4 linked regions of the Schizosaccharomyces pombe genome follow. Each later gene encodes a partner of the first gene's protein in a complex. Each region holds a gene or a part of one and is shown on either strand. Other genes may lie near its edges. The genes, in order: smn1, yip11, yip12 and gem8.

Region 1 (7,311 bases):
TTACTCTTTAATATTTACATGACTAACATTATAGGCTTGTTCGTCAACTTTTTGAAATGGCGCGTGAACAAAAACCATCTATCATTTTCATTGATGAAATCGATTCACTGTGCGGAAGCAGAAGCGAAGGTGAGAGTGAATCTTCTCGAAGGATTAAGACAGAATTTTTGGTACAAATGAATGGAGTTGGAAAGGATGAAAGTGGAGTTCTGGTTCTGGGTGCCACGAATATTCCTTGGACTCTTGATTCTGCTATTCGCCGACGTTTCGAAAAGCGTATTTACATTCCCCTGCCTAATGCTCATGCCCGCGCTCGGATGTTCGAGCTTAATGTCGGTAAAATACCTTCGGAACTGACCTCACAAGATTTCAAAGAACTTGCTAAAATGACCGATGGCTACTCGGGTTCAGATATTTCTATTGTTGTTCGTGATGCAATAATGGAGCCTGTAAGACGAATTCACACAGCTACCCATTTCAAAGAGGTATATGATAACAAGTCTAATAGGACCCTTGTAACTCCTTGTTCTCCTGGTGATCCTGATGCATTTGAATCTAGTTGGCTAGAGGTGAATCCTGAAGACATTATGGAACCAAAACTTACTGTTCGAGATTTCTACAGTGCAGTTCGTAAAGTCAAGCCTACGCTTAATGCTGGTGATATAGAAAAGCACACACAATTTACAAAGGACTTTGGAGCAGAGGGATAGTAATATGATAAAGGAGCTATTTTCGCTTAGTTTAATGATACCATTATTGTAAAGAAGTATAATATCATGACTACACTCACAAATGTTGAATCACTTTAGTAAATTATGGAACTAGTAGAATATTGAAGGGAATGTATATTGCTTCGACAATATCTATTAGGGCAATCGGAAATTAGTCTGGGTATGTTTACTCATGCCAGAGAAATATTTTCCATAATCTTAACTGATTTTGAATCAGGATTATAAAAGACAGTATTCGACAAAATTGATATAGAAATCGCATGCTATCAAAAAGTGCAAAGTAGCAACGTACCAAAAACCTTTTCATTCTCGGAGGTAATCGGTATACGTCGCAGGCACGTATTATACGAACAACAAAAGAAAAGCATGAAAAAATGTTGAAACAAAACCGCCTAGCGTGACTTTTATAATAAGTCAACAAATAATGCTAATTACGAGGAATATTCCTAAAAGCAAGTTACATTGTGTAATATGCGTGAAGTAGGGAATAATCAATCTGCTGCAGACACAGCCTCCTTATGATCATCCGCAACATCTTTGTTAGAATTTACGATATCGGTTTCACTTGAAGAATTTTCCTCCTCGGCTTTATGAGGGAAAAAGTGTTCTTTCCATCTGAACCCAGCTGCAAGGGATCCGTTGGTGGAATCATCTTCCTTAGAATTTTCATTCGCATCTTTGTCATATCCATCAGATCCATTTAACTTTACTTGATGAAAATTAGGTGGGACAATAACTTTCTTATTGTTATCGCCACTACGCCATCCTGGGCCATGATTTTCGGCATACTCAGGAGGAGCGCAGGGTCCGTCGTTAGCGGCAACTCTATCTGCAATCTTCTTATACCATGCTGATTTATCGTTTTCTTGCAATAAGGCAACTATACAAACAGTCATGTTGTCACAACCAAGGCCGGTAGTTTCGGTGTCACTGGCTATGCAGTTATCCATTAAATTTTCAGCAATCTTCTCAAGAGAGGTTCCAGCAACTATGCCACGTCTAACAAACTCGATCACTTGCTGCGAAGTCTTGCAATCCCAAATACCATCACAAGCGAGTACGACGAATTCATCATCGTCAGTAATCTCATGTACAACAACATCCGGTAAGGCAGTAACTATTTGTTTTTCTGGTTCTAAATTACTGTTTTTGAACTCAAAATCACCGATAGCTCTTGACAAAGCCAAATTTCCATTTACACGGCCAAAGTCTACAAAGCCACCAGCCGCACAAATACGGGCTTTTTCGGCTTCATTTGAAGGCTTATGGTCTGCTGATAGAGGTTTTGCAATTCCCTTACTGCCAAGGACAGTTCTTGAGTCACCGGCATTAGCCTACACAATTAGTAAGACTAAACAACTTCCAAGACTTACACAATAAAGTTTATTTCCAACACGAAGAACAACAGTGGCCGTGCAACCTGATGGATCCGTATGAAATTGATCATCTGTCAAAATAGTTAGCAAAATGCAATGTAGTGAAATGACAAATTTTTTTTCTGAAACCAAACTAAATGTAACAACTTTTCAACATCAAGAGGTAAACATTTCTATTATCTTGGTAACAATTTTTCTAAGCATTAACTAGACAAAAGAACAAAAAATCTATAAAAATTTCAAACACAAAATTCATCAATTTTTTGGCGACTTTAAAATGGTTATGATATCAATGAAAACAACTTTATCATTGTTAACAACAAACTTACCATCCAAAATAGCTTTATCAGCATTTAAAAATGAAGATTTCAAAGCATTAACAAAATCGCCTTTCTGAAAATCAGGATTCTTTTCAAGAATCTGAGGAAGATTGCTTCCACACCATTTCGCGACTTTGTCTCCACCGTGGCCGTCATAAACCGCAAAAAAGTCGACCGGGTCTTTTACTGCAGAGCACTCCATTGAAAGTATAGCAGAATGAGCATCTTCCATTGAGATACGCCATCCTTGCATGCTTGAAAGTCCATAAAGGACGAACTCATTGCTCCCGTTCACCGAGTGCTTCTCGGTGACTGGCTCTGATAATGTCTGACCCATTGACAGCTCTTGCTAATAGATGACACAAATTTTCACGTTTTCTTTTTGTGTCGCTTCAAAACGGGTTATGTAGTAGTGATAGGTAAATCGCTAGTAGGTGGTGGAGCTTGTCGGAGGGAGTGTTGTGGCACCCTCTACAACTACATCACCACCGTGGAGACGAACGATAGTTGTTAAAAGACTATGGAAGGTAACAAGATTAGCAGTAGTCAAGGCATATATGTAAACAACAGAATAAATGGTATCAAGGACTAAATACTTATAAATTTCAAATGTTCATTAAAAAACATGTGTAAACATAGCATATCCTATAAATTGATTTTTCAATGGTTTGCATTTTACTATGACTACAATAGAGACAAAAACAACGCTGAGTAGAATGCCCCAACAAATTCAGCAACTTGATTCAGAAAAAATTTCTATTAGGCAAAAATGATATTATTTTGATTCAATTAAAAATTCCATTGGATTTAATAAATGACCAAATAAATTCTACTTATTAGAAAGAAAATTGAAATAGAACTATTTGATAGGAGTAATAAATCTTAGCAATAGCAAGTAGGATAACAGTTTTATAACAACATCAACAATGAAGATATACATAACTTTGAAAAATAGCACAAGAAGCTAATCTTTACGTTGCTCACTTTTAGCAAGTCCTTCAGCTAAACCTGTATAGTAGCCCGCATAGTACCAGCTCATGATAAGCTTTTTGTAAGTCTCGTCTAAATCATTATGTTAATAATAGAGAGTCATAAATTTTCTTAGAAGACCTTTTACTTACCATATGTTAACCCTCTTATAGGGGGAGGAACTTCCATAAACTCTTGATGTGTCTCTGCTGCCCTTGTTTCAGGCTTTTCGTCGCTAAGGCCTTTATTATCTGCAAACTGTTGGATATGTGTATCTCCTTCCAATGTCGTCTCTGTTTGCTGATTTATCATCTGCTCACCTTCTTCTAGCTTACTTATTGATTCTTCTGTCCGTGCAGCTGAAATTAATTTTTCACCATCTAGCCTAGAATCCGGGTCCGATACTCCTCCCTTTGCTTCAATACTATGATACTTTTTGAATTCATGTAAAGCGGTTTCAAAGGCATTTCTGAGCTCTGAATCATCCCACACTTCTTTTTGGCTCTGGTCCATTTTTGGTACAAGTTGTAGATAATCTATTCCTGTATGTCTTTCTTTGTACCTTAAGAAAGCTTTATTAACAAGTAGTTTCCAACTTTGTTAACTCTTATATTAATTGAATATTATTAAAGTGAAAATATTGTTTATAAAGCACAACGCGTATAACGATAAACAGTTTGAGCTCGGCGATTCCGCTTACTACAACAATTATAATCTGCTGTGGTAACTTAGCTCCTTGCCTTAACTATCAGCCGCCTTAGTGGACAGGACTACAAGAATTCGAGGTCAAAGATATAACGAGGTTCGCACATGGCGATGTGAACTCGTGGAAGTATTGTGAAAGAATGTTTATTCCAATTCATCTTTGTTTACGATTTTGGCTTTATTATACCAAAAAGAAAAAGGAATTGTATAAGCTACAAAAATCAACCTAAATCAGTTATCTAATATCCACACGAATAATTCATTAAATGCTACATGCGCTAATATGGTTTAGCGAGGACTTCTCAGTAAGTTAGCTTTCTGGGATAGATTTTAAACTACCTAATTGAATTTAAGGTAGCTCCACGTAATTACGTTACATATTTTTATGCATCGTCATCTTAATTTACGTTAAGTACATATCGCATTCTGAAAGACCATGCGAATGGGTATTGGATGAGTATCGTTCTACTATCCCTCCTCTACATACATTCATATTTTAAAGATTTTCGTTCATGAAAAACTATCATAACATATTTCAATAGTGTATCTTTTGATAATTTCCTTTTTCCGTTACTTTTTACATGCATATAATACTTGGATAGATCAGATTTTTCTTGTTCTCGATTTTCTGAAACGATCGTTCATTCATTCCTCGATAATTTGACGAAAGGACCCTTAAGTTTGCTACTTTGCAATAATGGCTTTCAATGGATATGGTATTTTCGACAGTGATCCTAGAAAAAGTAAGTATACCTATCCTTCCCTCATTTGTAACAAAATTGCTAACGTTGTTTGAATCTTCGATCTGCGGGTGTTAATTCCTACAGATTCGAGATTCATCGCTGAAAACAGATCCATCGAGCGATTTAAGAACTCAATTTTGGCTCGCCTTTTTACTTGGAGCCTCTGCATGCGTATTCTTTTGCTTCTTTCGTAAAAGATGGAAAGTACTATATGCCCCTAGAACTACCATTGAAGGTCTCAATTTACCTACACTTTCTTCATCGTACTACAAATGGTTAATGGATTTAGTAAACATCCCTGATGATGTAGTGCAAAATTGTGCTGGTTTGGACGGCTACGTTTTTTTATTGTTTTTTAAAATGGGTATAAAATTCCTTTCTTTTGCTTCCCTGCTTGGCGTTTTGATTATTATGCCCGTCAATAAGCATTTTCGTGGAGATGCATTCGGGAATATTACTTTGTCGATGCCTGCCAAATCTGAATATTTCTTCTCAAGTCCACTTGTCAAGAAGTCAATTGTACAATCTCCTATTATTGCTAATGGTAGTGAGTTAAATGTTGGTGTGTTAGGACCTTCTTTATTTAATCCAATTGGTAATTTATCTGATATACCAGGTCTTCCACAGCCTGGTGATGGATTTCTCTATCTTTACGTTCTTTTTACTTACTTTATTTCCATTTTTCTTCTTTATGTTCTTTTTTCCTCAACAAAATCGATTGCTGACATTCGTCAATCATATCTGGCTCGTCAAAATAGATTGACGGACAGAACCGTTTTTATATCTGGTTTACCTAATGAACTTTGTTCAACGGAAAATTTAAAAGCATATTTTGATAAATTAGATGTGGGTTCTATAGACAGTTTAAGTATATGCCGAAATTACTCATACATGGATATATTACTGTCTAAAAAAAGTAAATACGTCAAGAAATTAGAAAAATATTGGTCTATCTATTTAAGTAACTGCAAAAAGCTTGGAATTTCCACTTTACCTCCTTCGAATTATCTTAGTCCAAACAGAGCAGAACTTGAATCAACACCAGAACAACTTTTGGAGGTTCCTTGGCAACATCATCAATGCCATCCGTTAATAAAAACTCATTTTTTTGGTATTTTTGGTCAAAAGATTGACGCAATCGATTTTTATTCGGCTAAGCTTTATAAAATAAGCCAACAGATTGAAAATGCTCGTTCTTTTGATTATCCTACCACAGGTCAGGCGTTTATAACGTTTGAATCTATGGCGACTGCGCAAATTGTAGCCCAAACTCATATTGACAGCAAATCATTGATGGGTTTGCATATTGAACTGGCACCTGCAGCAAATGATATTCAGTGGCATAATACCTATATCGGTAGATGGCATAAGTTTTTTCAAGGTTGGTTCATAACTCTCGTTACATTTATGATAATCTTGCTATGGACTGTTCCTGTGGGAGCCATTGCCGTATTTATTAACTTAGATACAATTCGAAGACTCTGGCCGGAACTTGGTCGTATGATTGAAGATCTCCCTTTTTTAAATTCTTTGTTGCGCACTTTCCTTCCAACGTTGGTTTATTCACTATTCATCAGCATTTCACCATTTCTTTTTCGATGGTTATCGTCTATGCAAGGCCTGAGCTCTCGCGCTGAAGAGGAAATTTACGCTGTTGGTAAGAATTATGCTTATCTCTTTGTAAACTTTTTTCTAGTCTATGTTATTGCTGGTTCAACTTCAATTTGGGAGTTAGCAAAAGATACCACCAGTTTTGCGCATTTCCTTGCCAACAGGTTACCACATCAAGCTCAATTTTTTATCGATTTAATAGTTTTGCAAGGTATTGGAATGTTCCCTTTGAAATTGATACAGCTTGGAAAACTGTCATCATATTTTGTACGTCGATCCTTTGTGCCATATTCTATTGCTTCTAAAAAATTCGAAACGCCCGATTCTTTTAGCGTAGGCATATTTCTGCCCCAGCCCATGTTTATAATGCTTATATGTTTATGCTATAGCATAATTTCTCCTCTTATTTTGGTGTTTGGTTTAATATATTTTATTATAGGGTTTCTGGTATACAAGTACGAGCTCATATATCAAATGGAACATCCACAGCATTCAACTGGTGAATTATGGAGTACCATTTTTCTACGAATGATTTTTGGTTGTGTAATTATGCAATTAACCATGATGGGATTGATGAGTTTACGGAAGGCATACTGGCTCAGCACGGTAATCTTCCCTCTTCTTTGTTTCACAGTAATATCTGCTTACAACTTCTCAACAATGATAAGAAGTTCAATGCAGTTTGTCTCACTTTATTACATTCGAACACATCAAAGTAACACGCTCTCATCAGAATCAGAAAGCCGTAACTCAGAAAGTTCTGGCTCCTATGTTCATCCGGGCTTCGATCTAAGCAACGAAGAATTGCCTTTAATTGATTTGAACACCGCTTAATATTGTTTTTAAGTCATGTTCT
Region 2 (8,373 bases), 4.1 Mb from region 1:
TGGAAGCTTAACGAATTTAACCAACCTGCTGTCAAATGCACAAACCTTCGCTAACCTTGTGAGAGTGGAGATAGCAAAATTTTTTCTTTTATGCCGAGGAGATGCTAATTATGCTGCTATGAAGTCGGTCAAGAGTAAATCTGGTCCTTATATGACGCAAGCTAGATCTAGATTAATGCTATAGGCATACGAAACTTTGGTATTAAAAAAAAAAAAAAAAAAAAAAAAAAAAAAAAAAACTAACTCAGTATAACAATATTGACAATAATAATATACCGAACCTGTGGTGTTTTTCCAGACTTGGCATCATAATAATTGGCCTAATTTTTCTGCAGGTCAAAGGTGCTTTTGGGAAGGGAAGTTCCATTTTCTCTCAATAGGCCACGAACTCGGTCTTTCAATTCCCTGCATTTTTGTATCCGCTATCGCTAATGTGGGTCCAGTAACAAGGGAGTGTGATTTTAGAGTCAGTTAGATGGAAAAGCTATCATTTACTGCCTAAAAGCAGTTCGAAATCTCGGATCTACGAACTAAGAAGCCGAACGGCTCATTCGCGTTATCAACGGGTATCTATGTATATAGACGGATCGTTACCCGTGATTATCAATAAACGGATCTTAGCTAGTATTCCAACATATGACATATAGTGATACGCAACGTAGTGTATCATAGCGTAGAGTAGTATTGCTGACAACTAAAGTATTTTGCGAGCGTGCGGTACAACTCTGTAATCATAAGAAATCAACTCGCAATATTAGTCTCAATTGTACACTCTCCAACAACCCACATATCGAAATGGAACAGAAACCGGAAGTTGATTACTCAGAGAAGTTTGCAGAGTTACAAAAAAGTTTAAATAACCTTAATACCATAGACATCGTACGTAAAAATCAAAATTTTGACTAATCTCTAACTTGTAATTGTAGGATGCGAACCTCGAGAAGCTTTTGATTTTTGAGAAGCAAGTTCGTCAGGCTTCTGACACCAGCACGAATACGAAAGTATTAATATACATTGCTGATTTGCTCTTTCGAGCTGGTGATTTCCAAGGCTTAAACGAACAGTTGGTTAGTCTCTTTAAAAAGCATGGCCAACTGAAACAATCGATGACAAGTTTAGTCCAACATGTAATGACCTATCTTCCTGGAATTGACGATTTAAAAACAAAAATTAATTTGATTGAAACATTGCGTACTATTACTGATGGAAAGATATATGTGGAAGTAGAAAGGGCACGTCTTACACAACTGCTTTCCCAGATTAAAGAAGAGCAAGGTGACATCAAATCTGCCCAGGAGATCTTGTGTAATGAACCAGTAGAGACTTACGGATCTTTTGATTTGAAGGAAAAAGTTGCATTCATTTTGGATCAAGTTAGATTATTCTTACTGAGGTCTGATTACTACATGGCATCTACTTACACGAAGAAAATAAATGTTAAGTTTTTTGAAAAGGAAGACGTCCAGTCTTTAAAACTTAAGTATTATGAGCAAAAAATCCGAATTGGTTTGCACGACGATGCATATCTTGATGTTTGTAAATATTATCGAGCAGTTTATGACACCGCCGTGGTTCAAGAGGACCCCGAGAAATGGAAAGAAATATTAGAAAATGTCGTTTGCTTTGCCTTGCTTACTCCTTATGATAACGAGCAGGCAGATCTTCTTCACCGAATTAATGCTGACCATAAACTAAATTCTCTTCCTTTACTCCAACAATTGGTTAAGTGCTTTATTGTCAATGAACTAATGAGATGGCCCAAAATTGCCGAAATCTATGGAAGTGCTTTAAGGAGTAATCCTGTTTTTGCTGAAAATGACGAAAAAGGTGAGAAACGTTGGTCTGAACTTCGTAAGCGAGTCATCGAACACAATATTCGTGTAGTCGCAAACTATTATTCCCGCATTCATTGCAGTCGTCTAGGAGTGTTGTTGGATATGAGTCCTTCCGAAACAGAACAATTTCTTTGCGACCTTATTGCAAAGCATCATTTCTATGCCAAGATTGATCGCCCAGCTCAAGTCATTTCATTCAAGAAATCTCAAAATGTGCAAGAGCAATTGAATGAGTGGGGTTCCAATATTACTGAACTTCTTGGAAAATTGGAAAAGGTAAGACAGCTTATTATAAAAGAAGAAATGATGAATTCTATTCAACAGGCGGTAGCCAAATAAATTGTTCCGTCTCTATTTCATTTCGTTACTTTCATGACTTTGTCATTTAAATAATATACTATTGGTTCAAAGGCCTTCAACTTTTTTTACGAGAATACAATAGTTTTAATGTCGAATTGCAACCTCGGAGAAAGTTATTCTAGTAAGTTTGTAGTGATTTTCGTTGTTATTTGTCTCGTAACTAGAAGGTTAACTTGATGAATTATTTTAAATAAATTATTGTAGTTCACTCAATATGTAGTCCCTTAATTTTTATTTCAGTTGAGTTTAGTTAAAAGATTGCCATTGGTATCATATCTGGCCTCAAAAAAAGTATAGCTTAGAAGAATATCGTCAATATCCTTCATATTTGGATCATCAGCAAATTCTGGATCTATAAAGAAAAACACAGGCAAGTCTACTTTTTCATGAGCATCTAGCTTTTGCTCTTCAAAGCAAAAGCATGCAACCTTTGAGAAGTAAACAGCGGCTTGACCTGGTACTATATTATAAGTTGCAACTCCTACTATGTCATGGTCGGACGTATTTTCAGCAGTATAAAACCCTAGAGCAGTCTCGCCTGGAAGAACATATATTTCACGCTGCTGGGGCCAAAGCTTCCAGCTAAGGTTTCCTGCAACGTCGCCATTGAAAGTAACTCTGATTCTTTTATTGTCTTTACGAGGAACCATTCTTTCTGCATTCATACGACTTTGGTCGGTATTAAGAGTGCCACCATAACCTGTTTTCGAACAGAAAAGACGATATAAAGGTACAGCCGCATATGTCAAGCCCAACGCAAAAATGGAAATTGCAACCAGATAATAGATAGTGGTCCTTTGATTATAGTGGAATTTATCTCTCGAATATTGTCGTGAAATATTCCTGGTACCAGAGATGCAATTGTAACAGCTAAATGAAGTAAAAATACAAGGGAAACGATGTGAATTAAAGTCTGCAAATCGAGAAAAAGCTTTATGACGATTAGTCGAATAGAATCGTTTTCCGACAAAAATAGGATCTGCAGTTGTATTTCTTTCAACTTTGGGTTTATTATATGAGGGGGGATTGATTGAATAGGTAGAAGAAGCATCTTTTAAATGTTTAGTAATTTTACTACTTGGAGAAGTACTTTGAACTTTGCCCTCTAACGGAAACAAGTCGCCCCAAGCACTTTTCCTAGCTAATCGATAAGCTAGTTTACCTTGTGATTTAGGAACAATATTCCTTCTAAGCCGAGCATCGCTATCACAGACATCAATTATGACATGTCCATCTCGCTTCAGTGGAGGTCGAATTATACGTGGCCAGTTTTTAAGAGTTGGAGATGTAACATTCACATTTTCTAGTAAATCCTCATCATTCTTGAACCTTTGTGTGGTATTATTAAGCGGTCTAGTTATACCCTTTTGAATAACAACATAACTGTAATGAGAGCGATCCGAGGATCGACGATGAGAACGAGGGACATATAGACGGGAAAATGGGGATAGGAAAAAATGTTGTTTGAAAGAACAAATATTTGCTCTTACCCCATTTTCTATATCAATGGGGCAGCGACCATCGTGGGGACAGGGTGCTACAATATGGGCATTGAATTGTTTATCAGAAGTATTTTTACTTTTTTGCAATAGAAATGTTCTAGCTCTTTGAATCAAACTAAAGCCACGCTTTGTGCCTCGCTCGCAGAGCACCAAAAGACCACCATCATTTGACACGAGACTCCAAAGCGAACGAAGATAATCAAAGAGTTCTTTCTCCGATTTCATTTCAAGAAGCTTGTTAGATGCAATAACTAGAGTGTATGAATCCTTTTTACCCAATGGTAGACGGTTAAGCGTAACAGGGCTAGTTGGATTCGGCGAAGTTGACGGGTAAATGTTATGGTGAATATCATATATGATTTTTTTCAAAAATGGGTTCTCCTCAACAATTGAAACTGAATTAGGTGTGGGAAAGACTGAATAACTAGCTAGAGCACCAATACCTGGACCTTTACCGCAATCCAGTATATGTTGAGACTTGCAAGACACATCACTGTTTACAATTTTCAAGTCAGTCAATACGCTGTATAGAGAAGCATATTGATACGGCATAGACTGATGAATATAAGCTAAAACTTGGGGATCTGTCATAGTCCGAGTAGATTCATCTTTGAATGGCGCAGACAATGGAAGCTGAGATTCCGTAGCCAAATCTTTTTTAATATCATTAATAAATTTTTTAATTTGTCCTTTTTCGCTCTTTTTCAATAAATCGTCCACATATAGATTAAATTTTGTATGCAAACTAATATCACCACTTTTCTTTTGATCCTTTACCAAAAAGTCGAGTAAACTGGAAGCTTCTGGACGATGTGAAGAGATCAATTCGTTTTTATAATCAGAAAAGTTGTTTTGAACAGCTTGAAAATTTGCATTATACCACCTAATGGTAGTGGTTGTTCCATATGGTATGAGACATCGCTGATTTTGAAAAGTAAAGCAATTCCGTAAATTATAAAGAAACAGAATTTTATATCTGCATGTTAGAATGGGCATATGTGCTGCTCAAAACACCAATTCACCAATGAACAATGGGATTTGGGGATAAAGCACTGATCTGTATATTGTGTAGAGTAAGTGCCTGATTAAGTGGCCGCAGATGGTGTTACTTGCGTTGACAGAAGAATGAATAGTACAATTTCCTACATATCTATATGTTTTATGTTTATTAAATTAGTTCAAGGATAGGCAATTCTGTCTGAGTGAATATTCTCCCAGTTTTAGCTTCTTATACACTTCAAAAAAATGCAAAACTTTGAACTTCTTTGAAAATAAGAACAAGTAATAAATTTTATGATAGTAAAGGAATTATCAAGAAATAGCTAAAATTAGTTTTAGCATTACACTTGATCAAGATAGACTCTTCACATTGATAGTTCTACAGATACCTCTTTAACCTTACCATTCTATTATACTAGGGTAATCTTCGATTTACGAAACATTCCTTGTTAACTAACTACAAACGAAAAGTTGCCGGAAAAAAACAGCCTACATTCCTTGAGTATTTTCATGAAAATTCGGTAATTCTTTTCCATTTGGTTTATATGAGAAGTTTGCAATTGTACAATAATAATTCAAAATGCCCTCGAAAAGAAAAAGAAATCCTTTACAATATCAGACTTCAGGATCATTAGATGAGGAAACAAATCAACGCAGCGCTTTTCCACAAATCGACAACAATAGTGCTTCAGAATCTTTGGAATATGATATACCACTTGATGGTTTAGATTATTTAGCAACTGTGAGGTACGAACATTTATATATGAATTTTTGTGAAAATCGAAATTTGCAACATGAATGCTTTAATCTAATCATTGTAACAATAATTGGGCTTTTTACTGACAAGTTCAGAGAAGAAGCTCGCAAGCTAGTTCCATTTGTAGCGGCGCGTCGTGAGCCTGAAACAAGAGAAACCATTCCTCTTCGCAAATTGGAAATCGAGGCCGGCAAAAAAAGCTTTGACCCGTTTTTACGATACTTACTAAACATAATTGATAAAGAAGGGGAAAGGCTTGAGCAATATATGGAATCTTCTTCATTGGACGCATCTATTTTACCTAAAAATTTACAACAATGGCGTGTATATATTGAGCATAAAGCTCCTTGTTGGGCCATATTAGCAGTGGTTGATTTGGCAACTGTTTTGGAGATCCTAGAAAGCTTGTCCAGCTGGCTTGAAAAGGACGCAATTGATTTACAGGTTGGTAACAAGGATCTCATGCTACTTTGCTGGTGTATTTTTGTTCATTCTAAAATTTGCTAACATTTTTCTAGAGTCAATGGATTTTTTGCTTTTGTTATAAACTTCCTGAGCTTTTGAATGGAGAAGATATATCGACCCTACGTTCAGTACTCAAGTCTTTACGAAGTACGCATACTTCTTTTCCTGCTCTGCAGATGTCAGCATCTGCCCTTCAAGCAGTCTTAGTTTATCGATATGGACAAAAAGATCTCTTTCAAACATAGAGTCTATAAATCTTGGTCGAAAAAAATTTAGGTACACATGTTCATATAGCATACGTTTGTTTATAGGGAAAAAATTAAAATTGATAGCTTGTTTTAAATATGTTTTTAGGATATTATTACTTTTTTGAATGAAAACATATGCTACACGGATATGCTGGGCTTTGCATCTTTGAACATGTGATTAAGCAAGCTTGGAGATAGCTGCAATAAACAATTTGCCTATTACAAATCGATAGATATATTTTAAAAAAACACGTTTGAATTGAGATAGGCAAAGTTATTTGTTTATTGATTCACATTTTCATTTTACAAAAAATGGCTTACTATTTGTTTAGTACGTGCATTCGTTTTGCTGTCTGCATACTTGTCGAATCGAGGGTTTCAATTATGTTATTACATGATAACTAGCAACTTTCTTTAATTCGCGCCCCATCTTACGAAATTAACTAATAAATTTTTACTGTCTTTTTCGACCGAGTGATTTTTTACCCATATGAGGTTTTTCAAATTCAAAACTAATTGAACATTGCAATTATTCTTTGGGAAAAAACAAAAGTCAAATAAAGATAAAATAAAAAAGAAATAATTACAACCTCACTGCCAAGAACCCCTTCGTGGTTAATTGAATCTTTTGAGTTCGAGCAATCAAGCTCCTTTTGTAAAACTAAATGTCACTAAAATTGCTCACACTTCAGTATAGCAGTCTAAATGGAGAGCTCAATTTTTTCCTTGCTGATAAGCGGACTCTGATCTCGCTACGTGAATACTTTCTTTCCTTCGACTAAACGTCAACTTGTCGAGACTTTGATGAAATAGTGGCAGTTAAAGCCAGAAAGCTACTGAATGTTAATTCATTTCTTCTATAGTTGCCATGTACTAAGAATCACGCCTAAAGCAATTTTCCCTAATAAATTCCGATGCTAAACATCCCTTAAATTACAAAGTTTTGTCAAACGATGGAGCAATCGTCGCTTAAAAAGCGCAATTTCAAAGGCATGCATTTCAACTTGCTTTGACCATGCTCTCCCAAATTTTGAACGAATATTTATTTATTAAAAAATTTACGCTACTTGAGCTATTCAGAACAATCAATAATACATATCTAATACATTTCTCTTGCTTTTCAACTATATAACGAGGCTTTCCTTCTCGTTATTAAACTTATCGCAAACTACGATAGGAAAATAAGATTATTTGAGAATTATTTTTCACTATACGATATAGCACACATTACGCCGTTTGGATATTGAATGTGTTTACGCTTAAAAAAGTTTATCCTTTGCAACTAACATTGTAATTGTGGTAAACGGGTTTGTTTGAAGTGACGGACAATGGGAAGAGTTGCCAGAAAAAGAAAGCATCATAGCAATGGAAATCATGCTTTGTTTAGAACTCGTGTTTATGGGAGGTATGCAAATTTCATGGTCATTCAATCATCGTTTGGTAAATTAACAATTGGACAAATAGAGACTTAGATCAGATTCACAATGACTTAACAGAGTCTGAGAAATTTGATAAATTACCTATAGATCCGGATTTGCCAGGTTTAGGTCAACATTATTGCATTGAATGTGCACGGTACTTTGACTCGTCTCAAGCATTGCTGGTGCATAAGAAGGGAAAGGTTCACAAACGAAGGTTAAAAAATTTGCGTGAAGAGCCGTATACACAAGAAGAAGCAGAAGCTGCGGTGAATATTGGACAGCCAAAACAGAGTGTAGCTTCCAAGCTTGCTGACAATAGTAACGTTGTCATGGCGGACTAAACTAGAGACACATTTACGAATGCTAAGTTAGTCAGCACTTTTGCTTTTGTTCCATATTCGTAGCGCATGCTCTTTATTTAAACAGATTTTTATATGTCTCATTCTCATTTATTCTGCTATATTATCATTAGCAGCGTTTATTGGTAATTTTAGTTGCATCCATGTTTGGATTACAAATTTACAACTAATACCTTACCATTGGTTACTGGATGTTAATCTAGCTTCAAGAGTGAGCATCTCAAACTACCTTCACGTTATTTTGGTTTCTTTGGATACATGGTGTTTTAAATAAATAAAATTTTTTTGATAATTTTTTCATAACGCATTCGCTATCATTTAACAAAATCCTCGTAAAAAAACAAATTCATCAAAGAACGTTTCATTAGACGCATAGATTCATTTCCTATAATGAACTTTCCGTAGCCACTACCATGTTACAAATACC
Region 3 (7,234 bases), 450 kb from region 1:
TTCAAGCAAATATGGTATGCAATAAGTTAAAAACAACTTTTTTAACACGTCAATCCCATTGAGCGAAGTAGCGGACTCTGATTCTTGTGGGAATTCCTCAGCGATTATACTACTGTCACGAACCGCTATTACTCGTTTGAGTTGAAACCTTCTTTCAACAGATGTAGCATTCCATTTTTTAAGCTGAGATTTCTCAAGTAAAAGTTTTACCAATAAATAAATACCATCAAAAGAATTATATGCCCGTAATAAAAATCTTGGATATCGATGTGTGAAATACTGAAAGAGATTAATTTATCATCATTTATTTATTTTACTTACTGCTAGTATAAACCTTAATGAAGGTGATATAAGTTTTTCCACCTGTTGAACTTGTAAAACTTCCAATAATGAAGGCGAATCCATTGACTGAATAGCTCCTTAGACAAGTGCGTTGAAGCAAGGAAAGGACTGAACTAGATCCATTAGAATCTTTGTAGTTTGAGTACTTACTGTAAATTTGCAAATAAAAACTGAAATTTTAAACAGTTATTTAATGGAATAATATCCTAAAAACATATTTAAAACAAGCTATCAATTTTAATTTTTTCCCTATAAACAAACGTATGCTATATGAACATGTGTACCTAAATTTTTTTCGACCAAGATTTATAGACTCTATGTTTGAAAGAGATCTTTTTGTCCATATCGATAAACTAAGACTGCTTGAAGGGCAGATGCTGACATCTGCAGAGCAGGAAAAGAAGTATGCGTACTTCGTAAAGACTTGAGTACTGAACGTAGGGTCGATATATCTTCTCCATTCAAAAGCTCAGGAAGTTTATAACAAAAGCAAAAAATCCATTGACTCTAGAAAAATGTTAGCAAATTTTAGAATGAACAAAAATACACCAGCAAAGTAGCATGAGATCCTTGTTACCAACCTGTAAATCAATTGCGTCCTTTTCAAGCCAGCTGGACAAGCTTTCTAGGATCTCCAAAACAGTTGCCAAATCAACCACTGCTAATATGGCCCAACAAGGAGCTTTATGCTCAATATATACACGCCATTGTTGTAAATTTTTAGGTAAAATAGATGCGTCCAATGAAGAAGATTCCATATATTGCTCAAGCCTTTCCCCTTCTTTATCAATTATGTTTAGTAAGTATCGTAAAAACGGGTCAAAGCTTTTTTTGCCGGCCTCGATTTCCAATTTGCGAAGAGGAATGGTTTCTCTTGTTTCAGGCTCACGACGCGCCGCTACAAATGGAACTAGCTTGCGAGCTTCTTCTCTGAACTTGTCAGTAAAAAGCCCAATTATTGTTACAATGATTAGATTAAAGCATTCATGTTGCAAATTTCGATTTTCACAAAAATTCATATATAAATGTTCGTACCTCACAGTTGCTAAATAATCTAAACCATCAAGTGGTATATCATATTCCAAAGATTCTGAAGCACTATTGTTGTCGATTTGTGGAAAAGCGCTGCGTTGATTTGTTTCCTCATCTAATGATCCTGAAGTCTGATATTGTAAAGGATTTCTTTTTCTTTTCGAGGGCATTTTGAATTATTATTGTACAATTGCAAACTTCTCATATAAACCAAATGGAAAAGAATTACCGAATTTTCATGAAAATACTCAAGGAATGTAGGCTGTTTTTTTCCGGCAACTTTTCGTTTGTAGTTAGTTAACAAGGAATGTTTCGTAAATCGAAGATTACCCTAGTATAATAGAATGGTAAGGTTAAAGAGGTATCTGTAGAACTATCAATGTGAAGAGTCTATCTTGATCAAGTGTAATGCTAAAACTAATTTTAGCTATTTCTTGATAATTCCTTTACTATCATAAAATTTATTACTTGTTCTTATTTTCAAAGAAGTTCAAAGTTTTGCATTTTTTTGAAGTGTATAAGAAGCTAAAACTGGGAGAATATTCACTCAGACAGAATTGCCTATCCTTGAACTAATTTAATAAACATAAAACATATAGATATGTAGGAAATTGTACTATTCATTCTTCTGTCAACGCAAGTAACACCATCTGCGGCCACTTAATCAGGCACTTACTCTACACAATATACAGATCAGTGCTTTATCCCCAAATCCCATTGTTCATTGGTGAATTGGTGTTTTGAGCAGCACATATGCCCATTCTAACATGCAGATATAAAATTCTGTTTCTTTATAATTTACGGAATTGCTTTACTTTTCAAAATCAGCGATGTCTCATACCATATGGAACAACCACTACCATTAGGTGGTATAATGCAAATTTTCAAGCTGTTCAAAACAACTTTTCTGATTATAAAAACGAATTGATCTCTTCACATCGTCCAGAAGCTTCCAGTTTACTCGACTTTTTGGTAAAGGATCAAAAGAAAAGTGGTGATATTAGTTTGCATACAAAATTTAATCTATATGTGGACGATTTATTGAAAAAGAGCGAAAAAGGACAAATTAAAAAATTTATTAATGATATTAAAAAAGATTTGGCTACGGAATCTCAGCTTCCATTGTCTGCGCCATTCAAAGATGAATCTACTCGGACTATGACAGATCCCCAAGTTTTAGCTTATATTCATCAGTCTATGCCGTATCAATATGCTTCTCTATACAGCGTATTGACTGACTTGAAAATTGTAAACAGTGATGTGTCTTGCAAGTCTCAACATATACTGGATTGCGGTAAAGGTCCAGGTATTGGTGCTCTAGCTAGTTATTCAGTCTTTCCCACACCTAATTCAGTTTCAATTGTTGAGGAGAACCCATTTTTGAAAAAAATCATATATGATATTCACCATAACATTTACCCGTCAACTTCGCCGAATCCAACTAGCCCTGTTACGCTTAACCGTCTACCATTGGGTAAAAAGGATTCATACACTCTAGTTATTGCATCTAACAAGCTTCTTGAAATGAAATCGGAGAAAGAACTCTTTGATTATCTTCGTTCGCTTTGGAGTCTCGTGTCAAATGATGGTGGTCTTTTGGTGCTCTGCGAGCGAGGCACAAAGCGTGGCTTTAGTTTGATTCAAAGAGCTAGAACATTTCTATTGCAAAAAAGTAAAAATACTTCTGATAAACAATTCAATGCCCATATTGTAGCACCCTGTCCCCACGATGGTCGCTGCCCCATTGATATAGAAAATGGGGTAAGAGCAAATATTTGTTCTTTCAAACAACATTTTTTCCTATCCCCATTTTCCCGTCTATATGTCCCTCGTTCTCATCGTCGATCCTCGGATCGCTCTCATTACAGTTATGTTGTTATTCAAAAGGGTATAACTAGACCGCTTAATAATACCACACAAAGGTTCAAGAATGATGAGGATTTACTAGAAAATGTGAATGTTACATCTCCAACTCTTAAAAACTGGCCACGTATAATTCGACCTCCACTGAAGCGAGATGGACATGTCATAATTGATGTCTGTGATAGCGATGCTCGGCTTAGAAGGAATATTGTTCCTAAATCACAAGGTAAACTAGCTTATCGATTAGCTAGGAAAAGTGCTTGGGGCGACTTGTTTCCGTTAGAGGGCAAAGTTCAAAGTACTTCTCCAAGTAGTAAAATTACTAAACATTTAAAAGATGCTTCTTCTACCTATTCAATCAATCCCCCCTCATATAATAAACCCAAAGTTGAAAGAAATACAACTGCAGATCCTATTTTTGTCGGAAAACGATTCTATTCGACTAATCGTCATAAAGCTTTTTCTCGATTTGCAGACTTTAATTCACATCGTTTCCCTTGTATTTTTACTTCATTTAGCTGTTACAATTGCATCTCTGGTACCAGGAAATATTCACGACAATATTCGAGAGATAAATTCCACTATAATCAAAGGACCACTATCTATTATCTGGTTGCAATTTCCATTTTTGCGTTGGGCTTGACATATGCGGCTGTACCTTTATATCGTCTTTTCTGTTCGAAAACAGGTTATGGTGGCACTCTTAATACCGACCAAAGTCGTATGAATGCAGAAAGAATGGTTCCTCGTAAAGACAATAAAAGAATCAGAGTTACTTTCAATGGCGACGTTGCAGGAAACCTTAGCTGGAAGCTTTGGCCCCAGCAGCGTGAAATATATGTTCTTCCAGGCGAGACTGCTCTAGGGTTTTATACTGCTGAAAATACGTCCGACCATGACATAGTAGGAGTTGCAACTTATAATATAGTACCAGGTCAAGCCGCTGTTTACTTCTCAAAGGTTGCATGCTTTTGCTTTGAAGAGCAAAAGCTAGATGCTCATGAAAAAGTAGACTTGCCTGTGTTTTTCTTTATAGATCCAGAATTTGCTGATGATCCAAATATGAAGGATATTGACGATATTCTTCTAAGCTATACTTTTTTTGAGGCCAGATATGATACCAATGGCAATCTTTTAACTAAACTCAACTGAAATAAAAATTAAGGGACTACATATTGAGTGAACTACAATAATTTATTTAAAATAATTCATCAAGTTAACCTTCTAGTTACGAGACAAATAACAACGAAAATCACTACAAACTTACTAGAATAACTTTCTCCGAGGTTGCAATTCGACATTAAAACTATTGTATTCTCGTAAAAAAAGTTGAAGGCCTTTGAACCAATAGTATATTATTTAAATGACAAAGTCATGAAAGTAACGAAATGAAATAGAGACGGAACAATTTATTTGGCTACCGCCTGTTGAATAGAATTCATCATTTCTTCTTTTATAATAAGCTGTCTTACCTTTTCCAATTTTCCAAGAAGTTCAGTAATATTGGAACCCCACTCATTCAATTGCTCTTGCACATTTTGAGATTTCTTGAATGAAATGACTTGAGCTGGGCGATCAATCTTGGCATAGAAATGATGCTTTGCAATAAGATCGCAAAGAAATTGTTCTGTTTCGGAAGGACTCATATCCAACAACACTCCTAGACGACTGCAATGAATGCGGGAATAATAGTTTGCGACTACACGAATATTGTGTTCGATGACTCGCTTACGAAGTTCAGACCAACGTTTCTCACCTTTTTCATCATTTTCAGCAAAAACAGGATTACTCCTTAAAGCACTTCCATAGATTTCGGCAATTTTGGGCCATCTCATTAGTTCATTGACAATAAAGCACTTAACCAATTGTTGGAGTAAAGGAAGAGAATTTAGTTTATGGTCAGCATTAATTCGGTGAAGAAGATCTGCCTGCTCGTTATCATAAGGAGTAAGCAAGGCAAAGCAAACGACATTTTCTAATATTTCTTTCCATTTCTCGGGGTCCTCTTGAACCACGGCGGTGTCATAAACTGCTCGATAATATTTACAAACATCAAGATATGCATCGTCGTGCAAACCAATTCGGATTTTTTGCTCATAATACTTAAGTTTTAAAGACTGGACGTCTTCCTTTTCAAAAAACTTAACATTTATTTTCTTCGTGTAAGTAGATGCCATGTAGTAATCAGACCTCAGTAAGAATAATCTAACTTGATCCAAAATGAATGCAACTTTTTCCTTCAAATCAAAAGATCCGTAAGTCTCTACTGGTTCATTACACAAGATCTCCTGGGCAGATTTGATGTCACCTTGCTCTTCTTTAATCTGGGAAAGCAGTTGTGTAAGACGTGCCCTTTCTACTTCCACATATATCTTTCCATCAGTAATAGTACGCAATGTTTCAATCAAATTAATTTTTGTTTTTAAATCGTCAATTCCAGGAAGATAGGTCATTACATGTTGGACTAAACTTGTCATCGATTGTTTCAGTTGGCCATGCTTTTTAAAGAGACTAACCAACTGTTCGTTTAAGCCTTGGAAATCACCAGCTCGAAAGAGCAAATCAGCAATGTATATTAATACTTTCGTATTCGTGCTGGTGTCAGAAGCCTGACGAACTTGCTTCTCAAAAATCAAAAGCTTCTCGAGGTTCGCATCCTACAATTACAAGTTAGAGATTAGTCAAAATTTTGATTTTTACGTACGATGTCTATGGTATTAAGGTTATTTAAACTTTTTTGTAACTCTGCAAACTTCTCTGAGTAATCAACTTCCGGTTTCTGTTCCATTTCGATATGTGGGTTGTTGGAGAGTGTACAATTGAGACTAATATTGCGAGTTGATTTCTTATGATTACAGAGTTGTAACGCACGCTCGCAAAATACTTTAGTTGTCAGCAATAGTACACTACGCTATGATACACTACGTTGCGTATCACTATATGTCATATGTTGGAATACTAGCTAAGATCCGTTTATTGATAATCACGGGTAACTATCCGTCTATATACATAGATACCCGTTGATAACAACTATTTAGAAATATTATAAATAGCGTTACAACTGAACCTCGTTCCTCAGTTCAGTTATGAGCTATATTAGTGATAGGTAACATTATAACTCAGTTAATACAATACCTATACTCAGTTGCTACTTATACAACCTGTGTATTGTAATATAATAGACCACAAGGAAAACTCACCGCAGTTCTACGTATCCTTAAATCAGATACCAAACTGCGTAGCTTACATTAGTGAAATATAGTGCTTATTTCTTCTATAGAAGTTCGTAAAATGCTGAAGGGCCGCAACATATTAGACGTGCTTTCAACGACATTCTAAAGAATACACCCTAAGCTTGAACCTCAAGTTATTTCAACGATTTAAAGGGAAGTAAGAGATAAGGTTCTTTGTGAAATCGTTCAAAAGTATTTCAAGGATTTGGGTTAGTGTAGCGTTCAGTTTTATCACTTGAAATTCATTTGCATCGACAGTTCACAATAACAAGATGAGCAAAATGGCCGGTCTAGATAACGCTGTTATGGTCCGTGACGATCAAGGAAATCCTTTCATTTTAGTACGTGACCAGGAAAAGAAGAGAAGATTGCATGGAATTGATGCTGTAAAAAGTCACATATTAGCTACCAAAACAGTTGCTAATATTGTGCGTACTTCTTTGGGTCCCCGTGGACTGGATAAAATTTTAATCTCTCCAGATGGAGAGATTACGGTTACCAATGACGGTGCTACAATCCTCGACCAAATGGAGGTTGAACATCAAATTGCAAAGCTGTTAGTTCAGTTGTCTAAATCTCAAGATGATGAAATTGGGGATGGAACTACTGGTGTTGTTGTACTAGCAGGTGCATTACTGGAGCAGGCCGAGGCACTTATAGACAAAGGTATACATCCTATAAGGATTGCAGATGGTTACGAAAAGGCATGCCAGGTGGCTGTTAAACATTTAGATGCTATTTCAGATGTTGTCGACTTTAGTCCC
Region 4 (7,110 bases), on another chromosome or scaffold:
TTTCTGATTTTTGAGTTAATACTCAAGATTAAAAAGACTACTTTGTACATCCTCCGCATACGAATCTTCAGACTGTCTTTTCATTTCCAGGACTTGTCAAGTACCTTTTTTGCAAGGAAATCTTAAAATCCTTATATGTATTCCACTTCAAGCCATTGCAACCGTGTCTTATACGTACGTGAAATATTCTTGTTAATTTTGATAAGCACACTAGGATTTTTGGTTGTGGACTTATTTCTTCGAGAAATATCTGCTATTTAATATGTCGTGATAGCGATTAACGACTGCTGCATAGTTGGATGGTATTGTTTTGAGACAATATTATGAGTTAGAATTAGGCATGCTTAAGCAGTCATGTGCTGTAATGAATTAAACATCCTAAAGCTTTATGACCAAACTTTTTAAGCCAGCTTCATGATTCCATATTTGTAGAAGTTTGTCTATAAAGAACTTTTAAAGAAAAAAAATGGTTTATTTGTCTAGATATTTATTTATTATTGATACTTGTCAGATAAACCTACAATAACTACATATTTGAATTGTACAACTTTTTTATTCAAGTATAAGGGGATACTTTTGCATTTCACAAACCTTGAAGGCAAGAAGAGTACTCAAGGATTATATATATTTTTAGCGGTTTAAGAAACTACCACCAAAGGGAAAGTAAAGTTACATTAGACTACGATAAAATAAGAACCATCTGACTTGCATGAATCAGGCGTCACATACAAAATTATTGATTTACGTCTTGGAATAAGAGATTCAAGGTTGCATTAATTGAGAATGAGAAGGGGGTTTGTATCAGTAAATGACTATAACAAGAAAAAGGAAGTCTGCAATTGCCATCTTGACTGCTGTATAAGCCAAATGGACCAACAAAGGCTATGAGAAAGTGCATTGGACAAATAAAAATAAGAAGCAAGTAAGACAGCATATGACTTGATCCCCAACAGGCTAAAGAAGAAGTAAAAGAGAGGGGAGAAAAAGGAGGGAGGAAATCAGCTAGGACAAAAGTTTTTGAGCGAAATAAATTTTATCCGATGATAATTTTGCTTCCTTCAAACGTATAAGCAGGAATCGCCAAGTTAAGAGGTGCAGGACCACGGCGAATACGACCAGAGATATCATAATGAGAACCGTGACAAGGGCAGAACCATCCGCCATAGTCACCAGCTTCGCCAATGGGTACACAACCAAGATGAGTACAGACACCAATCATAACAAGCCACTCGGGTTTTTGAACACGGTCAGAGTCCGCTTGAGGATCCCTAAGAGTGCTAATATCTACAGAATTGGCTTCTTGGATTTCTTCAGGAGTACGATGACGGATAAAAACAGGCTTACCCTGCCATTTGACGACAAGGTTCTTTCCCTCTGGAATTTTCGACAAATCAACCTCGGCCTTCGACATAGCCAACACATCAGCAGATGCAGACCAACTCGCCAAGAAATCATGAACAGTAGCTTGAGCTCCAGCGGCTGTAAGAGCACCCATTGTGCCTACCATGGCATAAGATATAACACGAGAACGATCACCAGTGCTCTTTGTTTGATACTCCGAAAAGTCTGGCATTTCCGGAGAGTCAGTATATGTACGAATAGAGGTAAATTTTGGGATGGTCATCATTGAGCCCTTCAACGACGAAGCAGTGCTTGAAACGGGAAGCAACCGTCTTAACGAAGATGCTAACGACTTAGAAATAAATTGCTTGGCCAGCATTTTTACAACGTTTTAAAGAGAAACAGGTTGTTGAAATATTCGGTGGGTAGCGGTTGGGGAAGAAACGTCAAGCTGCCTCTGGTTTAAAAATGGCGGCGTTTGTGGGTGCTGTGATTTGCTAAGAAGGTTAGTTGTATTTACCGAATTCACCGATTGATGAAACTACATATCCGAAGTTCTCCGAAAAATAACGAAGTACACAATAAAAAATTAACATAATTTTACAGCTACTTTTAACGATCAGTACAGTATAGTGCTAGACTGTGCAGTACATATATCATCACGAATCGAAAATCCTATATCTTTCAAATTCCAATATTATGGTACGCTAGAGATCATTTTGTTTTATCAGATATAATTTTCCAGTCTATTTTACTAGGTTCCGTATAAGAACATAGCTGGATTTACGTTCTTCCGTCCAGCTATAAACTATTTGGAGATTATAATATTATCCAATATTTAGATGTTTACAGTAGTATCATTCATCACTTTACAAGGTACAGCACCTGCATAAAACAATACAACAGTATTAGATTGAAAATTATCGTATTCTTTCACTAGCCTTAATTATTTTAAGGAATTGGTATATATCATTAATCATAGTTCAATGTAGAAGAAATGCAATATACTTATGTATAATGTATTCATGAAGATTGGTGACATTTATTGAATATTAAGCGTATCCTTCATTAATATGCAGGAAATTTTTCTACTCTATTGAACATCATCAATTCATAAAACGTTCTATCCTCGTATTGGTGTTGCCGGCCAATATTTGATAGGTAATGCAGTAAACTTGCGAAAAATATTATCAAGTATTTTTTCTTCCTCTAAAATTTCATAAGCCGAGTAATGGAACTGGTTTTGATATATTTCGATATCTTTCAATTCTTTTAATGAGATTGGTGTTTTTGGGTTGGTTTCTGGTTTGGAAGAAACCATTCTCTCCTTGTCCAGTGCTTTTTGTCTTAATTCTTTTTCTTTTAACAATTGCTCCTTCTCCTTTTTCCACATTAACTCCCTTTTTTCCGATTCACGGAACCAAAGAATTTGCTCATCTGTTAACGTTCGTATAGTCCCATCAGGATAGCGCTCTACACTTTGTGTATACTCAACGTTTGCACTTTCTGAATTTCCCCCACGATCGTTTTGCGCGAAAGCAACATTCCATAGGTTTACTGCTTTTGCATTAAAATGCTCATCATGGAATTTCTGTAAGTCTCCTTCTGTAATTTCAGAACTCATTAAAAGTTCCGTGGTTTTACACAATATTGGATTCAGTAAGGATTACTTTGCTAGTTGTAACAAGTTGCGATGAAATCAATTTGATGAACGAGCAAAGCTACGCTAGAACATTTAATGAATCACCCAAATTAAAATACTGTATCGTAGTGAATTTGATAACCCAATTAAAGCAAAACAAGGTAATACGTTAGGATTATACTAACAACGCAAACTTACAAGATGAGTAGTTTCTTTAAGAATTTAGCGATCCTTAATATTTGATGTACTTTATGGAATGGCCGTAAGTATATTTTTCTTGCTCCCTTCGACTAATCTCTCAGACTTTGACCAACTTGGAGCCTTTGGCAACGTATGTTTTTCAGATTTCCAGTTACTTTTACTAACATTATAGGGGGACTGTCATCCTTAAAACTACTCGCGGCGATATCCAGATAGAACTTTGGTGCAAAGAAGTGCCGAAGGCCTGTAGAAACTTTATACAGTTATGCTTGGAAGGGTAAGTTAAATCGTTGATGAGCAACGTTGTAGTCCCAAATGTTGCAACATTAAACTGCTTCGGGTTTACAAATATACTAATTAAATACAGTTATTACGATGGAACCATTGTTCATAGAGTTGTACCAGAGTTTTTGATACAGGGTGGAGATCCTACTGGCACTGGAATGGGTGGTGAATCTATATATGGTGAACCTTTTGCTGTAGAAACACATCCTAGGTTACGGTTTATAAGAAGAGGATTAGTGGGAATGGCATGTACTGAAAATGAGGGAAACAACTCTCAATTTTTTATCACCTTAGGTCCAACACCTGAATGGAATGGCAAGCAAACTCTATTTGGACGTGTTGTAGGGGATACCATTTACAATGTAGTAAGGATATCTGAGTTAGAGTTAGATGCCAACCAACGACCTGTTTTTCCCCCAAAAATAATTTCAACAGAGGTAATTGACAATTATTTTACTGACATAAAACCTCGTTCAACTAAAGAAGAAAGAGAGAAAATTGCCAATGAGCTAGCCCACCAGGAAAAACAGAAAGAAAGAAACAAATTATTGAAATCCGGACGACGAAATAAAGCAGTTCTCAGTTTTGGCGATGAAGTCGATATGCCTATTGTAAAAAAGCCGCTCAGGCAGAAAACGCCAGTATCCAGATCATCTGATACTACGACTGAGTTAAGTAAAGATTTGATTTCATCTTCATCCTCAATTCACAGTACTTACTCGTCTGCCCAAACTGGATTGACCTCTGCTAAAGTCTCTTCCGATGAATATGCTAGGCAAGTAGACACTTTAGATACAAAGTTAAATTCTTCCTCTAAGTCCAAGGTACAAGAAGAAATTTCCCGTTTGAAGTCTGAACTTCGTGACTTAGAAAAAAGTGGTGGCTCTTCAAACTCGAAACCCGTGGTTGTACGTCCTAAAAAACGGAACATCTTGACTGAGGAACTTGAAAAGTATAAAAAATCCAAAAAAGTTGTCTTAGGGAAGCGAAAAAACTTGGAGAATGACGAAGAGTCGACCCTTCGAGCACTTTCATCATTTCAAAGCAAGATTCGAAATGCAGAAGATGAAGATGTCATGGATAGTCAATATGGTAGCAAAATAGAAGACACACCTTGCAGCTTACACAATGTTCCTGGTTGCTTTTCATGTTTTGATAGGCTTGGCGAAAAAAATATAACAGAAACGAACAGCAACTGGTTTGCGCATCGATTGGTGGCTGAAAATGATCCAACAAGAAGAACGGAAGAACTTCGAATACAACGAGCAGAAGAGCTTAAAGATGTTCCAAGTGCTAGGCCTAAGAAGCTTTTAATGAAACGCGATATAATTTAATGTTTTACAAAGAAAAAAAAACCTATGCTTCTTTTAAGTATAAATTAATATTTCACATATTTCGTTTGTAAATTCTAATAATAATTACATTTTAAGCAAAGTATGGGAATGGTCAATTAGTGACTTGCAAAGTAAACAATTGTATTTATCACAACGAAAAAAAACTCGTATCACTATAATTTTTAAACACGAGGTGTGTTGTGGAAGAAGAGAAATTATTAAAAATTCCTGACAACTTAACAACACATTTTTTAAGTGGGCTTGAGTTTGGTTAATTCAGCTTCATCCACACTTTTTTTATCAGTCAAAACTTGACCAAAACTACCAAGAAGGCCACCAGATGATTTGAAAGGACGTCTCAACTCATCAATAGCAGGCTTATTTTGAACGTGAATCTGCACTTCACTGTTATCAAACAGACCTCTAGCAGCAGATACAGACTGTAAGAGAAGAGGAGGAGCGTAGCCCATATATAAATGCATGAACAAAGTGGTAGCAATTGTCACGAGCATTTGTTTAAAAGATGTCAAGAGTTTGCTCAAATCGTAATCACGCACGGTGGTAGCGACAAATTTTGAATGTTCACGTCCAGACATGGGAGTAGCGGGTTCAACATATTTTAAAACAGTTAAATCTAGAATTGTTAGAGAATAGATGAACCATGGTAGATTGAATTCGTTTATCTACCCATTTTATTAAGAAAGACGAAACAACCAATCTTCCAAACCAACGTACCGTTTTTCTTTTCGATAATAATCTTCGTGTAGAGGAAAATTCCTATTTGAACTATATTCACTGTAGCGTATAGAATCCTCAAAGGCCAAAGTAATGAGGGTCTTGAGAAATCAATTACCCTGGTGATCATCATCAAGAAGATAGAGATACCGATTGATTTAGTCTATCATGTTAACACCTGCCCAGCCAAATGTTTTTTCAAAATCTTACTTGAGGATTATTCTTCAATTTCTCCCATCTTGAAACCATTTTGTACGAAGTGTAGACGTTGAACTCAGACTACCTCTCATACATTTGGTGTTGATAATACACTACTGAAAGGTAACATGTTACCATACATTTCTGCCTAGCTATATTCTGTTACTATACTTTTAAGAGCCAGGATTTGGAGTTTTTTTGCAATAGAATTGAGTAAGAAAAGACGTAGAATTATTTTTTTTCTTGAAAGTGCCTTCTATCTGATCCAACTTGGCAAGCGACGCATCTCTGGTGAACGAATGTTGGAAAATTAGAGTTGTTTAAACATGAATGCCTTGCGCTAATAAGGGATTTCCTGCAGTAACAAATCGTAGTGCTATTGCATGAGAATGCCTAAGACTCTTAATTTGCAGAACGAAAAAAATGTTTCTGCATTCACTAATATGATAAGTTGTGGTTCACTTACATAGAAATACAACCCAGTTTCAGTTTTATTTATTTTGCTTACAATTTAAAATTTAGCCCTGAAGCTTTTGTAAGTTGTTTATCACTCGCATGTTTGTGGTTAAAATACATTTTTACCACGATTTTGAAGAAATAGTACATTAGCAAAATGTGAAATCAATTGTTAAAAAAAAGTTTATCGTTTTTTTGACAGGCATTAGTAACTACGAATATGTTGTCCAACAAGCCCAAAGTGAAAGAATACTCAATTTTATATTTTGTAGTATGCACTTCTCTATTCTTTATTTATTTTATTGTGAGTTCTAATGAAAGTAATTTTTTGTAGGATAGAAAAATTAAATAAGGTAACTTAGTGTAATAAATTAATGCTCTAGTTTTATCGCGCAGGGACTTCAAAATTAATAATAGCTGGCGAACTTGCTATTTATTCTATTTGTATGGGATTGTTTTTCTCGCTTCTTTTAAGCCCATAATTAGAATCGATTGCTAACATGCCAACCCTAATGCAACTCAGCAACGATATGAAACCATTGACATTTGTGGAGGCCTTACGAAATTTCAAGTCTGCCAAGGTATGTAATAGAAAAACTGGTGGGTTTTAACAATTGGTCAGGTCCTTTTAGTTGGAGCGGGTGGAATTGGGTGTGAATTGTTAAAGAACCTTCTTATGTCAGGAGTTAAAGAAGTTCATATAGTAAGTGAGTTGTATATTTAAATTTTTTAAACCTTAAGAAACGTTTCGTCTACATGTTTTTATCGCGATTTATTAACTCTTATACTGTAGATCGATCTTGATACTATTGATTTGTCTAATCTTAACAGACAATTTCTTTTTCGTAAAAAGCATGTCAAACAACCTAAGGCAATCGTTGCTGCAAAAACCGCAAGCTCATTTAACCCAAATGTAAA

Evidence for each region.
Region 2: smn1 (region 1) and yip11 share a complex: the UniProt entries of both Schizosaccharomyces pombe proteins name them as parts of the core SMN complex.
Region 3: smn1 (region 1) and yip12 share a complex: the UniProt entries of both Schizosaccharomyces pombe proteins name them as parts of the core SMN complex.
Region 4: smn1 (region 1) and gem8 share a complex: the UniProt entries of both Schizosaccharomyces pombe proteins name them as parts of the core SMN complex.

Annotation. Positions count from the first base shown.
Region 1 is NC_003424.3:818,941-826,251, forward strand, and holds smn1 (SMN complex subunit Smn1/Gem1), read right to left. Parts: upstream 4,015-7,311; 5' UTR 3,910-4,014; coding exon 3,549-3,909; exon of another isoform or gene 3,490-3,548; coding exon 3,392-3,489; 3' UTR 3,152-3,391; downstream 1-3,151. Other genes in the region: AAA family ATPase Vps4, read left to right, coding at 35-710; protein phosphatase PP2C catalytic subunit Ptc3, read right to left, coding at 1,223-2,065, 2,105-2,178, 2,437-2,764; SPOM_SPAC2G11.09 (Ca(2+) transporter), read left to right, coding at 4,799-4,844, 4,954-7,289. UniProt on the Schizosaccharomyces pombe protein: The SMN complex catalyzes the assembly of small nuclear ribonucleoproteins (snRNPs), the building blocks of the spliceosome, and thereby plays an important role in the splicing of cellular pre-mRNAs.
Region 2 is NC_003424.3:4,903,298-4,911,670, reverse strand, and holds yip11 (SMN complex subunit Yip11/Gem2), read left to right. Parts: upstream 1-5,276; coding exon 5,277-5,443; exon of another isoform or gene 5,444-5,548; coding exon 5,549-5,897; exon of another isoform or gene 5,898-5,971; coding exon 5,972-6,163; 3' UTR 6,164-7,450; downstream 7,451-8,373. Other genes in the region: 19S proteasome regulatory subunit Rpn502, read left to right, coding at 796-879, 927-2,174; rsm22-cox11 tandem protein cox1102, read right to left, coding at 2,432-4,693; bud20 (zinc finger ribosome biogenesis protein), read left to right, coding at 7,495-7,571, 7,631-7,928. UniProt on the Schizosaccharomyces pombe protein: The SMN complex catalyzes the assembly of small nuclear ribonucleoproteins (snRNPs), the building blocks of the spliceosome, and thereby plays an important role in the splicing of cellular pre-mRNAs.
Region 3 is NC_003424.3:1,265,060-1,272,293, reverse strand, and holds yip12 (SMN complex subunit Yip12/Gem2), read right to left. Parts: upstream 1,545-7,234; coding exon 1,378-1,544; exon of another isoform or gene 1,273-1,377; coding exon 924-1,272; exon of another isoform or gene 850-923; coding exon 658-849; 3' UTR 548-657; downstream 1-547. Other genes in the region: pex12 (ubiquitin-protein ligase E3), read right to left, coding at 1-279, 322-405; rsm22-cox11 tandem protein cox1101, read left to right, coding at 2,128-4,389; 19S proteasome regulatory subunit Rpn501, read right to left, coding at 4,647-5,894, 5,942-6,025; chaperonin-containing T-complex epsilon subunit Cct5, read left to right, coding at 6,752-7,234. UniProt on the Schizosaccharomyces pombe protein: The SMN complex catalyzes the assembly of small nuclear ribonucleoproteins (snRNPs), the building blocks of the spliceosome, and thereby plays an important role in the splicing of cellular pre-mRNAs.
Region 4 is NC_003423.3:2,288,339-2,295,448, forward strand, and holds gem8 (protein gem8), read right to left. Parts: upstream 3,003-7,110; 5' UTR 2,966-3,002; coding exon 2,465-2,965; 3' UTR 2,257-2,464; downstream 1-2,256. Other genes in the region: Rieske iron-sulfur protein, ubiquinol-cytochrome-c reductase complex subunit 5, Rip1, read right to left, coding at 1,034-1,720; cyclophilin family peptidyl-prolyl cis-trans isomerase Cyp7, read left to right, coding at 3,240-3,245, 3,286-3,314, 3,357-3,461, 3,552-4,803; snd301 (pho88 family protein), read right to left, coding at 5,055-5,437, 5,539-5,701, 5,749-5,787; SUMO E1-like activator enzyme Uba2, read left to right, coding at 6,693-6,773, 6,815-6,895, 6,986-7,110. UniProt on the Schizosaccharomyces pombe protein: The SMN complex catalyzes the assembly of small nuclear ribonucleoproteins (snRNPs), the building blocks of the spliceosome, and thereby plays an important role in the splicing of cellular pre-mRNAs.